Linked DNA regions of Coturnix japonica. The protein of the gene in region 3 purifies or fractionates together with the protein of the main gene of each other region. This does not show direct contact. Links are inferred from orthologs where the notes say so. Each region holds a gene or a part of one and is shown on either strand. Other genes may lie near its edges.

Region 1 (7,476 bases), on a different chromosome or scaffold from region 3:
TAAAACAGTAGATGTGAAATATATACATATATATGCTTTTGTTTTTCCCTTTGCTTCCTAGTGAGCAGGTTGTATGGAATGGCTGCTTTTAGTATTCACTTGTTCTACTTCGACAGTGCTGTCAGAGAATCTACTTTGAATCTGTCATAGTGGATGAATGCAGTCAGGCTGCTGCTGTCTGGGTTGAGCAGTAAATGTCTCCATATACTAATGTTCAGTTTACTTTTATTTGATGGTTGAAATGTCTATGTTTCTCAGTGGATTAAACAGAATAAAATCAGCAGGAATTTCTAAACTTCTCTTGTGCTTATTTTGGTACTTAGGAAATTATTAGGTAAACAGTACCCCTACTTAAATTTTTGTAAGGAGTTTTTTTGAGTGTAGCAAGTTAGCACGCAGAAATAAAGAGGGAAATGGACTTGTGTTGTCTTTGTGAACATTAACCTGTATCTTAGAATAAAATGTTAAACCAAAATATCTTTCACATACATTTTTGTGTAGAAATATTTGGATGCATTAGAAGCAGGTGTTGTGACTAAACAGCCTTAGGTATTCTAAAGGCAAGAAATGTTTAACCTTTGTTAGTAACACAAGGTTTAGTCTGTTTAGGGTTTTATATTATGATGTGCTAGAGTAGACTGAAGAACTGCATGAACTGAAATAGCTAACAAGGTACTGTAGGAAACAGTTGGTCTACTTCTGTTGCCTTTTTAAAGTACCAGAGGTGCTGCAAGCTTCCTTAACTATTAATTATTGCTTAATGACAGAGATCTGGTCATTATAAATACTCCAGTTAACAATAATGACCAGTTATCTAAATTAAACTGATTGTCTTGATACAGATGCCTACAAAACTGATGAAAAGACTTCTTTAGTGCAGGAGAAGAGGACCACCATCCATATCTATTTTATGTGAAAATTCTTTCTGGTATAGTAAACACATGACCCTAACATTTGGAAGCACAAGACACTGAATGTAGTCTTCCAGAGCAGAATGCTGCCAAGTTCTATTTCTAAAGGCAATAAGCATAAACTCTTTTAATTCAGAAATTATTTTAAAAGGAATTTGCTTACTTGATTTAATAGAGTATGTTTTTGCATCCTAAATGGGATCGTAGTCATGTTCATACTGTTGCTTTTCAGTTACCCTGTAGGAGCATAATAGACTTCACTTAAAAACAGACATTGTTTTCTACTGAATTGCTTTTGTTTTGAGGTGCTGGAATAGGCAGCCCAAAGAAGCTGTGGGTGCCCCATCCCTGGAGGCACTCACCACCAGGTTGGATGTGGCTGTGGGCAGATTTGTCTGGTGATGGACTTTAAGGTCTCTTTCAATTTCATTCTGTGATCCTACGAAATCTGGCCTGGGATGTGTGTTATTAAAAAGCAGAGAGAGCTAATGTGTACCCTGGACTGCACTGATTTACACCCCAGCACATGCAGTTGTGGCCAACAGGCAAGCACACCCAGCTGCACTCTCACAAACAATCTTAGCTAACATTATTTAGAGAGAGTCCTGGCTGTATGATGGTACTGCTGGTGTGCAATTCCTGAACTACTGCTGTTGGTCTCATGTTATTATACTGTTTAAATAGACTGTGTATGGAGTACATGTGCTTAGATTCACAGTACTTCTGTTTCCTTCTTCCTTCTTTTTTCTGTACAAAATCTATCACTGCTCTGGTCTCTACCAAGCTTTTATTGAGAAAAGCACTACAGAAATGTTTAAGCATTAACTAATTAAATGAAAAGGTATTCTGTGTGCTGTTTATCTTCATAAGTCCATGATCAGTAGTAAGAATAAACTGTTGGTGGATGGGAAAATACGAGCAGAAAGTTGATAAATAAACTACTGTATTGGAACAGTTTTGGCTTTTTTGCTTTTTGAAGATATGTACAATAATATATAATTTTTAAGGCAAAGTTTTCATGATTGCTTATTTTAAGGAAATGAGTATGTAAAATAATGGCTATATGTAAAGACATGTATGTACCTTTGTTTAAGTTGGTTAAATCTTCTGTTTTGAAGTCTGAACAGTGGGTACTCACACTAGCCAATAGATGTTAAATCATTATTTATGTGTAATGCACAAGTGTCTTTGAGGTAGTGCTGTTCTACTCTTAAATATATTTTTTAGTTTTTCCTTTTGACTCTCTGTGGGAAGTCTCCCTTAAAATGTTGCTCAATTACAATTCAGAATAGAATAGTTTTTTCCTTTTTGTTTCAGAGGGTTTTTTTAAACCTTGTCTGTTTTTAACAGAAGTAAATGAAGCAGTTTATGTATACTTAATTTTATTTATTTCTAAACCAATTGTATAATGAACTGCCCTGAAACTGTTCCATATGCAGTATTTTTTAACTTTGTCTTGATATCTGCAGGCATGAGCCAGGTTTAGTATGTTTGCACCCAGACAAGATCGGGAGCTTAGTGTGATAGATGTTTAGTCAAAAATACATTGTGATAACTTAATCCTCACTGAAGTCTTGAGATTCTCTTAGATATAACTTTAGTCTTCTGCTTGACTTCAGTTGCTCCAAGTTAAGTTGGTTAAATTACTTTGATTGTTGTCACCAGCTCATAGTTAATAGACAATTATAACTTGATCATAACTTTGTCGCCTTTCTAACCATAGCTTAGTATAAAGTACTTCTTAGGAAAAAACATCAATGGCTAATATAGTCTGACAAGCAGGTTTCTGCCTAAAAAGCTTAATTTCTGAACTTAGACTGCAGGAGACTTTTCATAATTATGTTAGGAATTGAATATTAGTTTTAATGACATTGTTGAGCTTAGGGAAAAGCATAGAAAGGGAAGGGTATCTCAGTTATGAAGTTGGAATTGTCACATGTGCTGCTTTTTTCAGTGGAAGTTTGTAGTGTGTTCATTATCCTAGAACTCTGCTATTCCAACCAAATGCATAATGAAACTATCAGAACATGTTTTGATAGAACCATGGTGAGGTTGATATCAGTGTTTACGCTTCAGTGAATTACTCAAATTTGAATAGAAGTGACACTTCTCCATTGAAGCTTTTTAAGCTTTTTTTTTTTTTTTTGGTACCTTATTCATTTACAATGGTCAAAATGTTACTTCTAGTGACAGGTCAGTCCTATGAGAATATGGTGACTGAAATCATGTCCATCGGCTATGAACGTGAGCAAGTAATTGCAGCGCTGAGAGCCAGCTTCAACAATCCAGACAGAGCAGTGGAATACCTTTTAATGGTGAGCAGTTTGTCATGTATACTCCGTTCTCTCGTCTTCATTGAAGAACTTTGTATTTTATTTACCTGTTATTTTGAATATTGTTTTGATCGTGTGCTACGGGAAATACTGAAGTTGCTGTTAGCTACATCTCTTGCTTTGCTTATATTCTGTTGATTTTTTTGTGGTTATATGTGTTAGGCACACCCAGTTTCATTGGAAGCTCTTAATTGCTAGTGACCAACCCAAGCAGTGGTTGTTGTGACATCTTAGTGATAATGCTGTTTTGTTAGTGTGCATAACATCACACCAAGGTAACACTTTAGAAATTCCTGTTCATCATTACTACTGGTTGTACACAACAATCATACTAATGAGTTTTCCAAACAGAAGGACTTGTAAATTTTTATTAACAAATGCTTTACTTATGCAGTGTTCTGGACAAGAAACAGTTTCCCTTGTCAAAAACACAGTTTCAAAAGTGAAATGAACTTGATTGACTTGAGAGGTAATAAAATAGTAACTTCACTTTAATGGAAATCTTGTAAGTTATTTTAGGGTTTTTTGTTGTTGTCTTTGTTGTTGTTGCTTTTTAAATTACATCTCATTTTAAAGCCAGCTGTCTTGAACTAGTCCCTGCAGAGTATGAGAACAGAATTTCTGAGAGACTTGATAAGAAAACTGACCTCCAGCTGCAAAGTTTTGTTTTTGTAAACAAAATTTTTTGTTAGTGTGTACAACTAGCAGTCACTGGCACGGTTGCTATTCACACAATTGATCCCAAGATCCTGTAGTTTCTAAATGAGCAACAAATGTTTTTAGTACATGAATGTAAAAAGTTAAACTCTCATCTGGAATGGGAGCAAACAAAGGCTTTGAATTCTTGATACCCTGAGGGCAAATGGAGTAGTTCCAACCCAGCTGTCATTAATCTGGAAATCTCAAATATTTATCTTTCATGCCTTGGAAAGTGTTGGTTTTACTGTCTGCTCACTGTGCGTTTAGTTTGTACATAAATCCAGTGCCCCTTTGAAGTGCTGCGTTTGGTGTATGTTCCCCAGTCATGTACAGCCTGTAGTACTTTTGCAGTCGGAATAATATTTCCCTGCTTTAGCTCATTTGTGTTGAGGAAAAAAATAAAAATAGATTATCCAGGAGGTAGTTTAACAGGTGGCACGTTTGTTCATCAAACAGATCGATTCTGTCCTGAGTAGTTAATTTCTTGCTCATTAGGCTTGTGGGTCTTCCTCTTGCATATGTGCTCTCCCTTCTATTTTTTGTCATTCTCTTCTGAAAATATGTTTTCATTTTTCTGTCAGCTGGAGAAAGGAGTGGTGAGAAGTAATCTTGTTCTCAGAGAACATTAGTATACAGACTCTTTTTTTTTCTGTTAGAAAAATGCTATTGGTGCTACTGAACTTTTAGACAGTTTTTTGGTCTATCTAAATATGTTCATGACCAATCTGCTGCATCAGGAAAATGTTTTCTTCAGTTAGTATTGTTCCACTGATAACGCGGTTCTTTGATCTCCTAGTTTAACAGCCTCCAAATGATCTGCAGGGTAGCTTTAGGATGTTGAGCTCTTAAGTGCACACAATTATTGTGGTTTGAAGAATCAGCACCAAGAAAAAAGCCTATAAGCGGCTGGAAAGGAAAGGTCAAGTGTAGTTAATGTAGCTGTTCTGGAGATGAGAACTGGAGAATCACTGACAGCAAGTGGGATCATTTAACAAGCTATTCAATTTTTATGGCTTAGTTTCTCAATCATATATTGTCCTATATCCTTGAGCTGTGTTTGTAGAAGGAGATTTCAATTCTAAAACACACTTCTAAAAATTTTTATTTATTTATTTATTTTACTTCAGACTTGTGTTTAGGAGATATTTAGATTCAAATCTGGTTTTGACCAAAGGTTTTCTTAACCTGTTAATTAGATTTTCTGTCAGTCATCCAGCTATTTAATTCTTTACAACCCTCGTTGTCCAAAAATGTGTATGCTTCTTGGACTGTGCCTGATATGATTATTACACACACCTGTGGTGAATGTTGTCTGCTAGTAAGCCACTCTGTTTGGTTAAACTGTGAGCAGATCTGCCCACAGTAAGGCAAAAAAATGCCCTTTTCACAGTTCAAGTGATGTTTATATTCCAAATTTAAGTTTATGTTTATTGATACCGTGCTTGTATAGATGTGTAAAGGGGGTGCATATACCTTACTGATTACCATCACATATAGTCTAGGTTTGTATGGTGGATTGTTTGTTTTTTTGATAGTAATATTTCAACGTTGTATTTAAGAATTGAGACAATATTCAAAATAGTAAATTGTCTCTAAGTAAATTTGGTTAGGCTAGTTTCCATAGTGTTTCCATTCAAGGACAGACTTGAGGTTTATACAAACATTCACTGATTGGTCTGGATACAGACAGTAGTGACGACACTTTCCTGAGAATATGTAAAGTCAACCAGTAATTCCAGAAGGTTAACACACGTTCATAAGATCATTGCTGCAATACTTGAAGGGAATGTATAAACAGGAGAGGGTATGACAGTTTACAAGGGTGGATAGTGATAAGACTAGGGGGAATGGTTTTAAATTGAGACGGGGAGGTTTATGTTAGATATTAGGAGGAAGTTTTTGTGAAACAGAGGGTGGTGAAGCCCTGGAACAGGTTGCCCAAGGAGGTTGTGGATGCCCCATCCCTGGAGGCATCCAGGACCAGGCTGGATGTGCCTCTGGGCAGCCTGGTCTGATGGTGGGCAACCCCGCACATAGAAGGGGGATTGAAATGTGATGATCTCTGTGGTCCTTTTCAACTCAGGCCATTCTACAATGTGGTGGAGTCACAGAACAGACTGGCTTGGAAGATGCCTTAACACCCACCCAACCCTGTGCCATGGCTGGGGTGCCCCCCACTAGCTCAGGATGCCCAGGGCCCCCATCCAGCCTGGCCTTGAGCTCCTCCGGGGTTGGGGTACCCTCAGCTTTTCTGAGCAGCTGTTCTGGGGCCTTGCTGCCCTCTGAATAAAGAATTCCCTCCTGACACGTACCCTAAATTGCATCATCGCAAATCCAAAACACAGAATCATACAGCTATAGTCAAGAAAATTATCCCAGTGATTAACAGTACAAGTGTAGTTCTGTGCTTATTTCCACCCATTCTTTTCCTCATGTGTAGTTGTTCCCAAAATGAAGGATGCCTTTTTCCTTTAAAGTAGGTGAAATGTGTTCCTTCATACCAGACTTTCTGCCTTCTCAAACAATTGTGGATTTTTGGTGCCATGGAGATGGAGTGCTGTGAGGTAGATGATCTTATATAGGCTTGCTTGTTCAGGACTGGGCTTAGTGTAACTCCCCCAGTTAATACAGTGCATGTCAGCAGCATTACTACTCCATGGAGTCTGCTTTTCATGTGTTTGTCCTGCTTAGCATTTCTCTCTCCCTGTACCATCAGGGTGTAGCCACATACGAACCTTTCTGTTGTCTGTTCTATGCTGATACAAAAGGCTGCTTGGAAAGGTATTTCTGGGCTTCAAGGGGGGACAAGGCAAATTTGGTACAGGAATTCAGTGACGAAGAACGTGGTTAGGATGGGAAGGGTTTCCAGGTAGGAAAAAGGTAGTAATATCTGCCTGGGTTTCTAGATTTGTTAGGCTCGCTGCCCTGAACAGTTATTTAATATGTGAAGTTCTTTGCATGCAAAACAATAAAGAGAATACAGGTTGACTGTTTCTGCTGAAAGTCTGGTAACTTTTCAGGCATTTTCACAGAAGGTTTGGTGAATGATGACTGTCAAACTGTTTTTTTTGATGAAAGTGGTTGAAAGAGCTGTGCTGCCTCTTGATTAACTTTGCTGATAAGAAAGTAACTGTTTGATGTAAGTTCAGTTAGCATTGTGTAATACATGATTATGTCGCTGTAAAGTAACTTTGTTTGCAAGACTCCATAACATAACACTGTAGGTAGTTTAACTTTTCTATTCATGTCAAATACCTTGGAACATAATTCATAGCAAGTATTTGTTCATGGACTTGAAATGCACTACTAAACTGATAGAGATGCTTTACCGTGACAAATTATTTCTGTCGCAGTATGCTTCTCCACTTGTAAGTGAACACCTGTCACAGCATCTTGCTTTGGATTTGCAGTGAAAATGGTAATATTTTTTCTTTGTTCTTAAATCTAAAATATGTGCAGTATTCTGTAGGTAACAATGTCAACTGTGGTTTTAGGGCATACCTGGAGATAATCCGGCTGTGGCTGAACCAACT
Region 2 (8,122 bases), about 15 Mb from region 3:
CTTTATGAGGTGTAAAATGAGAAACAGCAGCAATTATTTCACGTAGCGTTTAAACGTTGAGTACATTAGAAGAAGAACAACAATTGCTAACAACTGAAATATTAACGTTGTGATTCTTTGTAAAATGAGGAGCTTATTCCCTTCTTAATGGAAAACGCTGTTCTATTCAGCACCAAAATAGTCTACGCTAAATACACACACTGTATAAGAGCAGAAATGTGTTTTCAAGTGTGAGACAACAGCCTGTACTGACAGCAGCAATTCCATCACCACTCCCAGCTAACATACAACCTGTAGCTTCTTTTCAAGTGAGGAGGAGTTAAATGTCACCCACAATGACTCATATGCACTAACTACCTAATTCCCCATACACACTTTACCTGGAAGTTGGAGGGGAAATATACAGGAACGTGATGTCAGTAACAGAAATAAACAGAACTTGGTAAGCAACAGTTCCTTGCTTATAAAAACAAGAGCATTAAAAGAAACAAAAGGGACTTTATTAAAGCTGTTGTAAAGCTGTCTCATTTGTAATTTAAAATTACTCTATTTTTAAAAGTCTTGGGATTTGTAAAAGCACTTCTCCATATGTTTTAGATTATACATTTGGCTTCATAACATATCTTAACCATTTTTTCCCTGTTGAAGACTTACAAGAAGTCTTAATAGAGCTCATCACATATATGATGAATGTAGAGCTACATTCTTGATTCTGCGGGTTAACTCATTTGAAGTACACCCAAAACAGCTTCTTCAAGTGTCCCCTTTATTCCTGCCAGCACACCACCAGGATTTTCCCATACCGATCCCAAATAAAGCATGCATTTTGGGGCCTACTAACTTAGGAAATACTTAAGAAGTTGTACCAGTTATAATTAAAACTACATCTGAAAATAACTTCTGAGGAGCCTCATGAAGCAGGCGGGAATTGCGTTTTAATGGTGACAATAAAGACCCCTAACATTAGTCACAGAATCACAAAATGACCCGGGTTGGAAGGGACCTCAAGGATCATGTAGTTTCCAACCCCCTGCCTGGCAGGTGCCACAACAGACATACCACCTTTACTAGATCAGGTTGCCCAGGCCCCGTCCAAACCTGGCCTTGAACACCTCCAAGGACGAGGCAATCCACACCTCCCTGGGCAGCCTGTTCCAGGCCTAACCACTCTCTAGTGAAGAACTTCCCCTAACATCCAACCCTAGATCTTCCCTCCTTTCTCACACTAAACTTAAAACCATTTCCCCGTGTCCTGCTATTGTCAGCAATAGCATAGTACAACAACTTATCACACTGTAAATAAAACACCAAAACAGCATCCATTCCCTCTATCAAATACACAACCAGTGCAATAACCCAGATGAATCAGCAGATTTGTGAAAGGAGGTGGACAGAATAGTCCAAACGCTGACAATGTCATCTATATTTTACACCTATTATAAAATATAGCACTCAAACGTCACAACATTTTGAAAGCAGCAGTCATTTTGATTGAATTAATCCTGCAATCCAAGACTTAGCAAACTCCTGGTAAAAAGCTAAGCTGGATTTCAGTGCTTTTCTACAGCATTCACAGCCCAGACCATCCCAATGAATGGGATGCATACAGTGTAACACATACAAGATACATACAGCGTAAACACTGACCTTAAGCTGCTGCTTTCTCCATTCAACAACATGGTAAAACTTAGTGGTGAGAAAGCACATTGGGTTCAGAGCCTTCCGTAGGGAAAGCTGCTAGTAATTAAAATAAACATTTCATATTACATCTCATCATCCTTTTCTTAAACCCCTGTTTTTATTTTCACACACTATACATCAAGACCTACTGTGTAGGTCTGACAATCTGACAATTCACCTCCTCAAACTAATATATCTATTAACTTCAATCTGCCTTAAGTCTTTATAAATTTATAATCACATTGGGACTGGAAGTTTTCTAACTGCCACCACAAGACCCATTTTAGACACAGCAATACTTGGATCATTGTACATATGCTGGTAGGACTCAGGTGTCAGAAGGCCTGAGGAAGACTTGGTACATCTCCACTACAGAAGTAAATGGCAATGTCAGGTGGGCTGCCAGCATATGTGACCCAAGACCAACAAGGTTACCAGCTGTGGCTGTAGTTATTATTAGCCAAACCTCTCCTTTACCAGTCAGGTTTGCTGATGGTTTATGTCGGTGTAGTTATATCCACATCAGAACAACACTGCTGGCATGTGAAGTGCTGACAGACCGACTCCACACACTGCAGTGCCTGGCTCCGTGCTTGTGTTCTGCTAAATACAGAATCACAGAATTGTAGGGGTTGGAAGGGAGACTCTAGAGATCATCGAGTCCAACCCCCCTGCCAAAGCAGGCTCCCTACACCACGTCACACAGGTCGGCGTCCAGGCAGGTCTTGAATATCTCCAGAGAAGGAGACTCCACCACCTCCCTGGGCAGCCTGTTCCAGTGCTCCGTCACCCTCACTGTAAAGAAGTTCTTCCTCACATTCGTGCGGAACTTCCTATGCTGTACTTTCATCCCATTACCCCTAGTCCTGTCCCCACGCACTACTGAAAAGAGACCAGTCTCGCCACTATGGCTCCCACACCTCAGGTATTTATAAACCTGCATCAGGTCCCCTCTCAGCCTTCTTTTCTCAAGGCTAAATAGACCCAGTTCCCTAAGTCTCTCCTCATAGGGGAGATGCTCCAGGCCCTTCACCATCTTTGTGGCCCTCTGCTGGACTATTTCCAAGAGATCCCTGTTTTTTTTGTACTGGGGAGCCCAGAACTGGACACAATATTCCAGATGAGGCCTCACCAGGGCAGAATAGAGGGGGAGGATCACCTCCTTTGACCTGCTGGACACGCTCTTTTTAATACACCCCAGTATGCCATTGGCTTTTTTGGCTACAAGGGCACACTGCTGGCTCATGGTTAATCTGTCATCCACCAGGACACCCAGGTCCCTCTCAGCAGAGCTCCTCTCCAGCAGGTCTTCCCCCAGCCTGTACTGGTGCATGCAATTATTTCTACCCAGGTGCAAGACTCTACACTTGCTTTTGTCAAAATACAGCTATCCAGGTGCAACAAAATGTGGGAAAGATCCCCAAATCAAACTATTCTCAGCACTAAGCAGCCAGCATACAAGCCTACAGGTAAAAGGAAACGTGATCACAAACAGCCTAGGACATGAGACAAGAGACACAGACCACACTCCACTGTAGTGCGTTCACACAGAAGTGGACATAAACTGCACTTCCAAGTCATTAACACTGCACAGGTTCTGAAAACCAGCAGCTGTTCAGGATGGCCAGAGCTGCAACTGAGTGTTTTGCCTTGATGCAGCACAAGCATCCCATATAGTGCAGTAATGCCCTGCAATCTATACACCGCTCAGTGTAAAGCTGATTGATTGTGAAATATTATCCTTTATTGGACTGAGTGAAGTTTATACAACAGTTTCAGTTTCCATTTCCTTCCTCGTATAATATTCACTCTGGTAAATCTGTACCTGCAGAAAGTCAGCACATACAACTAATATGTATAACAAGAAATTCTGTTGAATTTCCATGAAGAAATCAGTAGGTTTAACAAAGGATACATCAACTGTTTATTTTCAGAAGAGGAAACATGCTCTATAAGTAACGCTATTAGCAAGTTGATGCTAAAAGCTGCCAAGTGCCCGAAGCTTATTGTCAAGGGCCAGGGCATGTTCTGCCAATTCCTACTTCAACCAGGCAACATTGATGGTATTTATGATTCATGTAATGCAACTGTAGGTGGTCTAATGAACAGAACTGCCTTCAGATAAGATGATTCAGGTGAGAAGCTGCACTTCAATGCCATTCTGTTGAACATTCTCGGTACTAAAAGATGTGAGATGCCTGAAGAAAACTCTGTCATGACTTTAATGTCACACACTGAAGTACTTCTGTTGCCTTCCAAACTTACTGCCAAACCCTACAAGAGAACTGAACTCGCTTATAGTGCACAGTAACAACAGCTTTTGTTGCTCCCATGAAGACTGAAATAACACTGAAAACAGCAAAAAGAGATGTAACAATGATAACACAGGGAACTAGTATTGTAGCAGTGCATTAGAGCGTCCCTGACACATCAGGCCTTTCTCTCTCACTCCTTGCGCCCAACCATTCAGCTGGGGCAAGGCAGTCAAACCAAAATAAACCACTCTGCTTCTTCTCCATCCATAAAAGCCAGCAGCCATCAAACTGCTGCTGTATGGAAACCTGAGAGAGCAAAGCTCCAGCTGCAGCGACCTGACAAGCTCCAGCCGTGCGGGTGAAGCCTTCCCCAGTAACATGCGCTGACCTGGGCCGTGTTAAGGCCGCTGCCCCGGCTCTGGGCCCATGAGCCTGGGAGGGGGAGAGTGGTGTGAAGGGAAGGGAAATAAATAAGAGAACAGAGGCAGGGAGATAAACGCATCATCAGGAAGGGAGGATTTGGGCTCCGTGGTAGACCTTAGTCATAGCTGCTCCCATTTTATTATTTTTTTTTAAAGGCCCAACGGTAAAAATAACAACAGAGGACAAGCCAAGCGGACGTAAACACGGAGACAAGACAAGAGGCGTCTCTTACCTTCCTACTCGCTCCTCCAAGAGACACCTTGGGCCTTGTTTTGAAATCGCCTTCAAAGCTGAACATGTTTACAGCTTATCCCATCTAGAGAGGCGCCCGGCCCGGAGCGGACACCGCCACCAGCGCCGAGCGGAGGGATCTCCAAGGGATCTCCAAGGGATCTCCAAGGGATCTCCAAGGGATCTACAAGGGATCTCCACGGCCCCGGGTAGCCGCTCCCCCCCAGGCTGGCACCCCGCAGCCGGCGAACCCCGCGCCGCTCCCCCCCCGTCCCCTCTCCCCGCCCCGCGGCCTTCTCTCCCCCGGTCGCCCCCCTCCTGACCGGCTGCCGCGGCTGCGCGTAGTGGGAGGGAGAATAAGGAGGAGGGAAGGAGAGGAGGAGGGGGCTGGAGGGGCTGCTTTACTTGCACTTGGGGGAGCAGCCGGCGGTTGAGAGAAGATGGCCGCCGCCTGCAGCTTCCCACGCGCGCTCCCGACGACAGGAGCGTGCGCGCACCGCCCGCAACCGATGGGGCCGCGCCGCCCCTCAGTTCCCTAAGGTGGGATGGAGAAACCTGGAGCTGCTGAAGGGAACTTACACCCAGGAGGGGAGTAAACTCTTGGAAAGGGCTGATAATAGCAGGACAGGGGGAAATGGTTTTAAGTTGAAAGAGGGAAGATTTAGGTTGGATGTTAGGGGGAAGTTCTTCACTAGGAGAGTGGTTAGGTCTGGAACAGGCTGCCCAGGGAGGTTGTGGATGCCCCGTCCTTGGAGGTGTTCAAGACCAGGTTGGACGGGGCCCTGGGCAACCTGATCTAGTAAATGTGTATGTTTGGTGGCCCTGCCAGGCAGGGGGGTTGGAATTACATGATCCTTGAGGTCCCTTCCAACCCGGCTCATTCTGTGAAACACCAGTACTTCTAAATTCATCCGTCCTTTCTGTAGAATGAGCTTGTGGCTGCTGTTACCCCCTTTGCAAAGTCCAAGTCTGAAAACTCACCAGAGAAACAGTCCTGAGTGAGTGGGGCTGGGGCCTCACCAGGCCGGCAGCTGTCACCTCATATCAGCACACCTTGGGGTGAAACTACACCCCAGGCTCTTTATGTCACATTCCTCAGCCCGACCGACCGCCATTTCTTGGTGTCCTTTCAGACACAGACGTGATAGGGATGAAAGCAATAACAAAAAGCATTTATTCACTCTGCAGCTATGAGGTGTTAAGTGAATCTATGTGCTCCACTCCTGCTTTCATTTCCTTTAGTGGAAATGTGAGTTCTCACATCGCTGCATCCCAAGTAATGGCAAGGATCCGTGAGGTAAGGCTGTGTGGAAATCCAGGCCTGCATCAGTCTCCAAGCTAAGAAACAATTCATTGATATTTCTTCTAATTTTGATGATTTCAAAGCATCTAGATTTTAACATATCAGTCTTTTAATGGCACAAGTGCTTGGCAAGGCTGTATATGAGCTGTGCTTTTCCTGAGATAACAGTTTCGGTATGAGCAAGTCTGGCCTATAAATACTGTTTACTGGTGCAGCTGAGGTTTAGAGCGTTGTGAAATACCGTGTCAAGTGTTGATTCACAGTTGAAACACTCTGTATTGCTGATGTAATGTCACACCACTGCTGGGCAGTTTGGCACCAAGAAAATGGAATACTCTACATAAGGAGGGTTTCTGTACAATGGATCTGGGACAAATACACGTCTGGCAGGGACCAGCTTCAATGTTAGAAAGCCACAAGATCCTCTGCTGACTCAGGATGCTCCCTGCTGAAGAAGCAGCTGGTAACTGACCCAACTGATGGATGTTTGCCTGAGGAATGATTTGTGTGTGCCCCTAGAGGCCACACTAGGTGTCATTTTATTAAACAAGGATAACTTAGGATAAACTGAGGTTTTGTATTTTGAATACAGTGAATTTAAGGAGGCATACAGGAAACTAAACCTGTTTTCTCTTTTAATTTAATGCAAAATATATGTTTACATTACCAGTGGAGAAGACAGGTGAGTAGTCAGAAAACGCTTCTTCAAGAAGTCAGTGTGGGGACTGCTTTCATATTCTCAGGGAGCATCAAGAGCAAGGTTCCTTGAAAATGAGTGGGCGCAGGTTTGATCCAAGGACAGGCAATGCCCTCACCATGCCAGGACATAATCTTACAGGATTCAAAATAGCAGGCAGAACCCAATCAGTGGTTACAGAATCCACTGGCAGCCCCAGACATGGTGAGAGGGAGAGTCCAGAATGCCCAACCACAAGTAGCCAGAAACAAGAGATGGGCCCAAGGTTCAACCAAGAAACAGAGTTAGAGATAACTCTCCTAGGCTGTTCCTGATGCAAGGAGTGAGTGGGACTTCCAGCTGAAGCTGATCAGGACAATTAAGTCCTCTTAGTGCATTCAGAGCATTGACAAACAAATACCTCAGATGGATGCCTGTGTTAACATCTACATGCCTCTCCTGCTGCAATGAAGTTAGCTTCATGTGCAGTTTCCCATCTTTCCCATTTCCTTTCTTAATGCACATTCCATGAGGCTTTTTTTCTTTCCTTCTTACAGTTTTATGACCTTTGATTGTTCCTTTTCCTCTTTGCATGTATATGCACACATTGCTTCCAGGTACAACTTGCCTGCAGAAGTCCAGTTGTTCACCAGACGGCAAACTGTTAAAAATCTTCTGTTACTCAAAATTGTCTTAATTCCTCTGAGCCTTATTGATCTTTTCTGCCTCTTATTTGAAAGCAGGTATTTGGGCTATTCAGTTTGAATATGTGAGAATCACTGATGACAAGTATTCCATTTTCAAGTTCCCTTTTCTTCTTCAGTGTTGTTGGATTTATTACCCTCACCATGATCTAAGAATCACTTTCTCTAAGTACATACATACATACAAAATATCTCTAAATAATATATCTCTAACTATATAATGCTGTAAAGCACCTTTCATGCATCTGTATTTAGTGCAGTGTAGATAAGTCACTGCAACTGAGGAACTTCAGTATCTAAAGTATCTTCTGGTGTCTAAAATATCTTTCAGTATTGAAAGGGAGAAAGAAGGAGGCCTGGCTCTTTAGCAGGGTCTGTTGTGACTGGACAAGGGGAAATAGTTTCAAAGTAAAATGGAAGATACAGACTGGATGCAAGGAAAGAGCTTTTTACAGTTAGGGCAGTGATACACTGGAACATGTTGCACAGAGAGGTGGTGGATGCTCCATCCTTGAAGACATTAATGGTGGGGCTGGATGAGGCGCTAAGCATCTGAACAAGCTGTAGTTGTCCCTGTTCATTGTAGGAGGGTAGGAGCATGGCCATAGCTGCAGCAGAACAAGAAGTCCCACTCCACTTACTTTGTTTCTCATTACACATTCCCATCCTCTGTCTCACGAACATACCCTAGATGAACTACACAAGCAGAAAAATACTCTTTCCTCCCTCTTATTACTTTTCTTTAATAGTTTTGCTATTACAACCCTGAACTGGTCAACATGAGACAAGCTAAGGTCCACTAGGAGATGGTGATGAGTGAAGCAGGCTCAACTGCATGGCAGTTTTCTAA
Region 3 (7,941 bases):
AGTGCAACTCAGTTCCTTGAACACAGGCAACTGGCACCATTGTGGAAAATCTGGGGTATTTCATTTCATCTCCAGCTGCCATGGGGAAGGGTGAAGGTCTCCCAGACTACACATCATGCAGCCCTGTGTTTTAGAGCATCTCAAATGACATTAGAAATCATTGTTTAGGCAACTGAATTGTACCCTGACTGTCTCTATATCTGCAGGGAAATGCAAGTCGTGGTGAACAGTACCCAGTAATTAGTCATATGTTCAAAACATGAATACAGTTTGCATTGAGGCTCAGTAATAAATATCTTGCTGACATAGCTACATATATTCAAGAGTTACAGAGCTGTTTGAAATCTGTTTCTGAATGCATCTGGTTCTCTTCCAGGACGTACAGTTGGGAGGCCAGAGATCAAGTGGCCAGAAAATGAAAGGGGAGTGGTGTATAAGAAGCTTCCTGCTCGCTGAATGGAGGAAGATTTGAAGGAAAATAACAGTGAAAATTTGAAAAGATGAACTGAGAGGAGAAGAAAGATGATACCAGGAATGGTAAACAAAGACAGGAAATAGCCCGCTGATGGTGTTAGTCCTTGATTAGGAGCCCGTTAAGTTTTAGCTAGAGGGCTAAACCCAAGGAGACATTTTGTCAGCCCAAATGTGGAGAGAAAACAGAAAGACAATAGAACAATTAGACAGAGGAAGAGAGCAGAAGTGAACAAACATATTGCCCCTATTACAGTGACACACAACTAGAGCTTTGCAGCAATACTGTCCAGCTGCCTTTGGACTAACTGAAAATGAGAAAATAAATCAAACTTTCTTTCGACTGTCAAGGGTAAAGAGAGAGCTGTTTCTTTTTCAGCCACCGGTAACCTGATAGCTTGCCACAGTGTATTTCACATAAGGAAGTCTGTAAAGCAACATCTAAGTGCTCCTTGTGATTAATATTCCTTATGATCTCCAGCCACCTAATCGCATACTGACCTCAGTGAAGGTCAACTGTGAGAAGAGATGGGCTGTAGGAGCAGGGTGGGCTACCAGGAGGTGCCGGTGAATGATGGAGCAGCTGGAGAGAAAGAAAGAACCACTGCAGACATGAACAAATAAATAGCAGCAAACCAAGGGTGCTGATCTTGGGAACAGCGCTGCACAGTTAGACTGAAAGAAGTGGGGCAATCCATTCCTGATGTCCAGATATGCTGAATGTGGGATATGCTTTTCTTCCCCAGTTTAATCCAGAAAGTTATAGCATGAATTGCAGTGTTATCTTGAGATGGAAAACGTCAGTTCTGGAGGATGAAGTAACTATTGCTTGAGCTGCTGGATGTGCTGCCTAATGCAGGATAGATATTCTGTATTGCATGGTGAATTCTTGCATTCTGAATGAGAAGCATGTGGTAGCGAGATCTTCCATATTCTCTTGGAACTGACTGCTTTCCTTGATATCTACTAGCCTGCACTGTTAGGCTCAGAGAGGCGTCCACCTCTTGCATCCAGAGGCGCTGTGTGGGCTCAGCTGGTGCTCTAGGCAGTGCCCATGCACATGGATTCCACATTATGCCCATGAGATCAGCTGGATCACATGCTCACAATGAGCATTCTCTTGCAGTATTAAGTTTCTCTTAGTAGACACTGCCTGATAGCCTGAGACTACGTAGACCTCCAAGACAACGGTTTATCCAGGGTGTCTGAAGTCCTTAATATGCCTCTGAAATTCCTTTTCAACAGGACACTTTTAACTAAGGCAGCTTATAAGCAAATTCATTAACAAACTGATCTATTTTCTCTTCATCTTTTCCTTGGAATATGCCCTCAGCCATTAGCACATCCAGTTCAAAGAAGATGGGCCCAGGCACTGAAATGACTACTTGTCCACCTGAACAAAAAAATTTAGCAGTCTGAACTATTGCACTAAACACATTTTTGTTTTACTGTGAAGAAAATAAAAAGCTCTACTTCCATTTTTCATGTATGCAAATTAAATTCTGAATAAATAAATCTACATAATCTCACCTCCGTGCTAGACAACTTGCAGTAACATTTGCCAAGAGGAAGACAGCCTTTTCTAATACTAATGCATAAAACATGTTGAATATAAAGAAATTAAAGAAAAATAACTGAGTAAATAGCTGCCGTGCAGCTCTGGAAAAAAAAAATAATAGAGGGATTTATGAGTTACTCTGGATTGTCTTGTTCAATCAATTCCAACATGCTACCAGAGAAGGGTGTATTCAAGTTAAGGTTTTCATTGGGATGGTCATATCCTGAACCACTGAGAGTTAAAGGATGTCTTTCCTTTAATTACCATGGAACAGAGTGTAGACCTATCTGCTGAAGCACTCAGGAATGCCAGGCTGTTGGTCCTACTCATTATACAACCAAGTTACTGTACAGTTTCAGAACAGCAAATCTCTTACTGTGTTCTGGGAATGCAGGAAGTGTCTTCTCAACACGATCAAAACTATTTCTTGTTCTGTGGCTGCAATCCATGTGGGATACAAGCCCGGTGACTGTAAGGACTGCAAGTGGCCCTGGTGCTGCAGCAAAGGAAGGATAAAAAAAACCACAGTGGCAGCATGTCCTGATTAGATATCAGTGGCCTTTTTCCACTCTGATTGCACAGGGTATATGCTGAAAGGCAACTCTTACTCTTGATGGTCTAGAAACCATCAAACGCCAATTGTACTTGAGTCATGGGCACTCTCCTCTAACCTTTTAAATATGCTTTCACTGTGGAAAACTTATTCTGGATGGTTGAATCCTTAAATCCTTTTCTCTAAAGAATTCAGAGACATCAGTGGAGCTAGGTCAACCAAAAGGCTTGAGTATTACCAACTACATCCTTCACGGAATTCAGAGATGGTTTTTCTCAGTGGAGAAGGATGTGGAAATTCTTTATATGCTTCCTAGGGATGGTAAGGTATGGGATATACAAGGCCTAAAGACTGAGTAGGAAGTGACCCAAGAACGCCAGTAAGAAACCTTAAGAAAATGTGAAATTTCAGCATGTGAAAATGCTGTTTTCTTTTTCTAACACTTGGCTGCAGGAGGAGAAGTGCTTTCTGCTTGTCTTCTGTACAGTCTGGCTGTTCAGAGTATGGGATGCCACTCACATCATCCAACCCTTAGGACCTCTTCTTGTAAGGTCTGGTTTGTAGAATGCTGTACAGAACGGGTCCTTCAGGCAGCGTAGGACAGGTTTATGTTAAGAACACAAACACGATATGGCACGGTATGGCAGTCAGTTCTTTTCTCTTAGATAACCTGGGTGCAGCTGAGCATCTTTAAACTCCTGAGCATGCTGCAAAATCAACTCTGTGTAAGGGAAAGCCTAGAGGGTAGTAGCTGGATGGTCACAGACCTCTATAAGCTTTTGGTACGGGACATCGCCTTGTTCTCTATGGATAGAGAAGGATATCTAATAGTCCGAACCGCACGGGGCGGCCCAGCAGGTGCCGCCGATGTGGGGACGCTGTGAGGGCGGTGCGGGAGGCGGTGCTGAGGGAAGGGCGGCCGGCGCTGATGCGCAGGCGCAGTGTGGGCCGCGCCGTGCCGTGCCGCCATCCCGTCAGTGTCGGCGGGCAGCGGGGTCGAGCATGTCGGAGAAAAAGCAACCGGTGGATTTGGGGCTCCTGGAGGAGGACGACGAGTTCGAGGAGTTTCCGGCTGAAGGTGCCCAGCGGGTCGGGAGGGGCGGGATGGGGAAAACGGAGCGGCGGGGGCCATGCTGTCTGTAGGCCGCGCCGCCTGCCAGAAGGCCGCGCCGGGCCAGGCCGGCCATGTACCGTGCTGTACCGTGCCGTGCCACACAGAGCCCCGCGGGGACATCGCCGTGCCCGCTGCCTCCACGCATGGAGTCCCCGGGTCCCCGTTGCCCGGTGGCCAGGCAGGAAGGGCTGTGCTGCACGGCGCTGCTGTGTCATCGTACGGGAGCGCCCCGCCGTGTCCGGGTGGGAGGGGTAGGTGGGGGGTGGGAGCTGCGTTGTTGTGTGGGAAGGGAGCAACGCGTGCAGTAGGTGCTCAAATTATCGTCTGTGCAAGCACAGAAGTGCGTTAGTTTGCTTTTTGTAGGTACAGGATACATCGAGGGAGGGGGCTGCAGGAGTCTGGGCCTCAGCAAAGCAGCCCGAGGGCCTGTCACAGCTGTGGACTTTGGGAGGACCCTGTTTGGTTCTCTACCCCCAGTTCTGGCAGCTGTCTCGAGTTGTGAATGGTGGTAAATTATATACAACATGGATGGAATGGCTGGGGTTGTTTTTCTATCCTGTTTTCCTCAGAGGTGATTTCACAGTGGCTTTATATGGCCCGTAGGGATGCAGAGTCTTGCAGTACTTGTACCAACATTATGTTTGCACATAGTAGGGATAAGACCTAAAGCAGACAGAGAAGATGAGCCCTTCTGCTTTCTTTTCCATATATTTCTTAAAAGGGTTAAAAAAAAATACTGTAATTTAATATAAGTATTAACTGTAAGGACAAAGGAAGTCTTAAAGCATGCATCTGAACCTGGGGTTGGTCTTCATGTTCCCCTGCCACCACCCTGAGAAAAAGTCCTTTGTACAGTCAAGCAGACCTTAAACTGTAAAACTGTGCTTGAGACTGGAGGAAATGGGTCTACTAGCAAATCAAACTCAATTAACTGCTTGTTAGACTCAGCGTGCATCTGTATCCAAACCGAGGAAGGTAAAATTAATTCTACTTAAATCTATCTGTGCTCCTAAAGCTGAGAAAAACCGAGTGGAGGTACACTGTAATTCTGGGTGGAACAGTCTTTTATTGAAGACTGGCCATGGCCTGACTTCCTGCTGCTGTACCTTGTTAAAGAGGCCCAATGAAATCTTCAAGTGAGATAATAATGTTGAGAGGTCATAAAGAAGGTTAGGACTGCCTGCTTTGTTATTATCTACTCCAGAGAGCACTTTGTTGTCCTGTCTCAGGTGACAAATATGGGGAGATACATTATATTCAGATACTTTTTAAGGAGTCTATTCATGAGAAGCTTATCAAATAGATGTTGATTTTGGTGTATAGTAGCAGTACTTAGTAGTAGCAGGCTCTCCGATGTTCTTTGCATTTCCAATCCCAGATAACACTATTGTTTTTTACTGTTACTCACAGGCATGTGGTAGAGCTGGAATAGTTGGAGTATATAATTCTGGCGTGTGGTGTCAACACACAGATTGCAGAATTGTACATTGTAGAATCTTGTAGCTGCAGCAGGGAGAGAATAATTTCAGCTTTACTTCCTCTTTTCTTTCCCTCCCTCCCTTTCTCCTTTCTGCTGAGGAAGGCAATGTGGCCTTTTTGCTTCTTCTTTACTCAGTGATGTTTGAAACACTCTTCCAGCATCCCCAGCTTCTGTGATTGCAGCTGAATTTGTTGTGATGAATGTGAGTTGTGGGTTTTTGGAAACCATTTTGAGCTATTTTACATTAGTAGATAGAATTTAACTTCGATACTGGTTGAGGCTTTTTGGATCAATCCAAATAGTCACATGAATGGTTAAATTTTTGCGTTGGAAAAAAATGTCAGTTGCCCACAAATTGGCAAAGCTTATTGTAGATTGTACTCAATTAAAATCCCTCCCTTTAGCCAGTGAGTGGTACAACTACATTCAAATAATGTATTGTTTCATACTGCAGTGTTTCCTCATCTGCCCCATTTTTTTTCTTTCTTTAAGACCAGTAGAATTTCTACATTCCTTCGTATTTTTTTTCCCTTTATATAATTTGAGGAGTTTAATGGTAACTCCATCTGTGTCTTTAATCAGTTACAAATGGATTTTCTTTCCTGGTGAATCTCAGATGCTCATCTTGTTGCCTGTCAGCATTAAAAGGAGAAGAAAAATGCAAGAACCAACTTTTCTTTTTGTAAAGAAAATGAACTAGTTCTTAATCTTTTGCCCTACAAGGTTTTTTCATACATGTCCATGTTTAATGTTACTTTGGCCCTTTGTTCTCAAAGCTTTCCCTGAACTCAGGCAGACAACTGAGAGGGAAGTAGGTTATTGGTATCGACTGCTGTTGGCAGGTGCATCTTTCACTTTGCCTTTGCTGCTGCATCACAGATACGTTTGTGGCATTTATCCACAGACTGTCAGTGCGTGATGTGAGTGAACTGTATGTTCTCCTGTATAAATCAGGAGATTCATTTGTTGTTGTTTTTAATTAATCTCACTGCGCTGTTTGGTCTCATGAACACTTGAGAATGATCCAGACTTGAATAGAAAGGTGAGAAATTCCTTATCGTTTGAAGTCTGCCCTACCCAGAGATCACTAAGATGTGGTACCAAAGCAGAGCAACGTATGCTATGTAGCCTTCTCTTCCTGTCTTTAGATTGGACTGGTTTAGACGAAGATGAAGATGCACATGTCTGGGAAGACAATTGGGATGATGACAACGTAGAAGATGATTTCTCCAATCAGTTAAGGTAATTTTAGTTTTTAACTTGGTATTCTAGAAGCTGGATAAAATGTTTATAACTGCATTGCTTAGTTATTAGTATCAGATACTTGGAAATCTGCTGAAATGTACAACAGAGATTAATGGCAAGGGAGCCAGGATTCTCTGTGCTTTGCTATATGGTAAGCAAAGTGTGTTGGTAAAAACATTTTCTGTACCTTCAAAATAGCATTGCTGTGCTTTGACCAGATAGACAGGTGATCGGTGGAAAACTTCTCCATATTTGTTCATCACAGAATCACAGAATGACCTGGGTTGGAAGGGACCTCAAGGATCATGTAGTTCCAACCCCCCTGCCTGGCAGGGCCACCAAACATACACCTTTACTAGATCAGGTTGCCCAGGGCCCCGTCCAACCTGGCCTTGAACACCTCCAAGGACGGGGCATCCACAACCTCCCTGGGCAGCCTGTTCCAGGACCTAACCACTCTCCTAGTGAAGAACTTCCCCCTAACATCCAACCTAAATCTTCCCTCTTTTAACTTATAACCATTTCATGTTCCCTTCTTCTGTGCAATGAGCAGCAAGGACAGAGTAAATATTTGCAAAGTGCTTTAAAAAAGTGCTAATAATTTGGGTACCTCTAATCCACTTGTGTAATCCTCTTGGTCACTTGTCATTTCAGTTAATGATTTACTCGTGTAATTGTAATCTAAATTGTTTCAAGAGTCAACACAAATTCACGTTTTATAATTAGACCTTCATTATGTTGCATGCAGAGTAAATGTCTGCAGTAGGGACTGATTAACGGTTCCTGGGATGATCTCTTTTGTAAAGGGAGAAAGTGACCCTTTGTGTAGCAGATACAGAACCAGTTTGTTGTTATAGTCCTTGCTTACAAGGTTGGAAGGTAGTTGAACTGTAATGTTGGAAATGTAATGCTGATATACAATGAAATACAGGGATGGTATAATTTTTGACAAATATAGTTGATGACAACAGGCCTTCAATGTATGTCCTAATTATAGCTTATACTGTTGGCGTCCTTACACTTGCCTTAAAATGATAGTTTGCAATGTTGCTTTGTTGCAGCATGTTTTTATTTCATCTTCAGAAAGAAAGTGGTGCACTTCTCCACTTCTTGAATTCCAACACTGTGTAAACTAACCTGAGGTTTAGGCTGCTGTGTAGAGATACATGCTAGGACTAGGCTATAAAACAGCGTAGTTCTTTCCGATATGTTGGAGGCAGATAGGTAAGAAGCTGTCTGGGGTTGGGTTAGGAGCAGTAACTCTGGGCATTTGCTGTCCTGTTGTCCCAGCAACAACTGATGTGAATAAAGCAATACATTTTCCTTGCAATTGTTGTATTGGATTGCACCAAGATTTAAACATGATATGAATGTATTTTATGAACTATATATTTTTAAGTATGTGCGTTTAAATCACTCAGATCAGTCAGCTCATTGAGTTTTAGGAAACGCTGAGAATAATCAGTATGAGATAACAGTGTAGTTGGTGTTGTGTTTTTTCTTCCAATGGGTTGTTGCTG

Evidence for each region.
Region 1: the proteins of SEM1 (region 3) and RAD23B purify together in Homo sapiens (co-immunoprecipitation; 3 studies listed by BioGRID and IntAct, with this or other methods). This does not show direct contact. The link is inferred for Coturnix japonica from reciprocal best matches to the Homo sapiens genes SEM1 and RAD23B.
Region 2: the proteins of SEM1 (region 3) and UBE3C purify together in Homo sapiens (affinity purification with western blotting; 3 studies listed by BioGRID and IntAct, with this or other methods). This does not show direct contact. The link is inferred for Coturnix japonica from reciprocal best matches to the Homo sapiens genes SEM1 and UBE3C.

The regions. Positions count from the first base shown.
Region 1 is NC_029547.1:49,513,167-49,520,642, forward strand, and holds part of RAD23B (UV excision repair protein RAD23 homolog B), read left to right. Parts: intron 1-3,098; coding exon 3,099-3,226; intron 3,227-7,437; coding exon 7,438-7,476. UniProt on the Homo sapiens protein: Multiubiquitin chain receptor involved in modulation of proteasomal degradation. Binds to polyubiquitin chains.
Region 2 is NC_029517.1:7,650,523-7,658,644, reverse strand, and holds the start of UBE3C (ubiquitin-protein ligase E3C), read right to left. Parts: upstream 4,861-8,122; 5' UTR 4,657-4,860; coding exon 4,591-4,656; intron 1-4,590. UniProt on the Homo sapiens protein: E3 ubiquitin-protein ligase that specifically catalyzes 'Lys-29'- and 'Lys-48'-linked polyubiquitin chains.
Region 3 is NC_029517.1:22,206,631-22,214,571, reverse strand, and holds the start of SEM1 (26S proteasome complex subunit SEM1), read left to right. Parts: upstream 1-3,501; 5' UTR 3,502-3,584; coding exon 3,585-3,660; intron 3,661-6,324; coding exon 6,325-6,418; intron 6,419-7,941. UniProt on the Homo sapiens protein: Component of the 26S proteasome, a multiprotein complex involved in the ATP-dependent degradation of ubiquitinated proteins.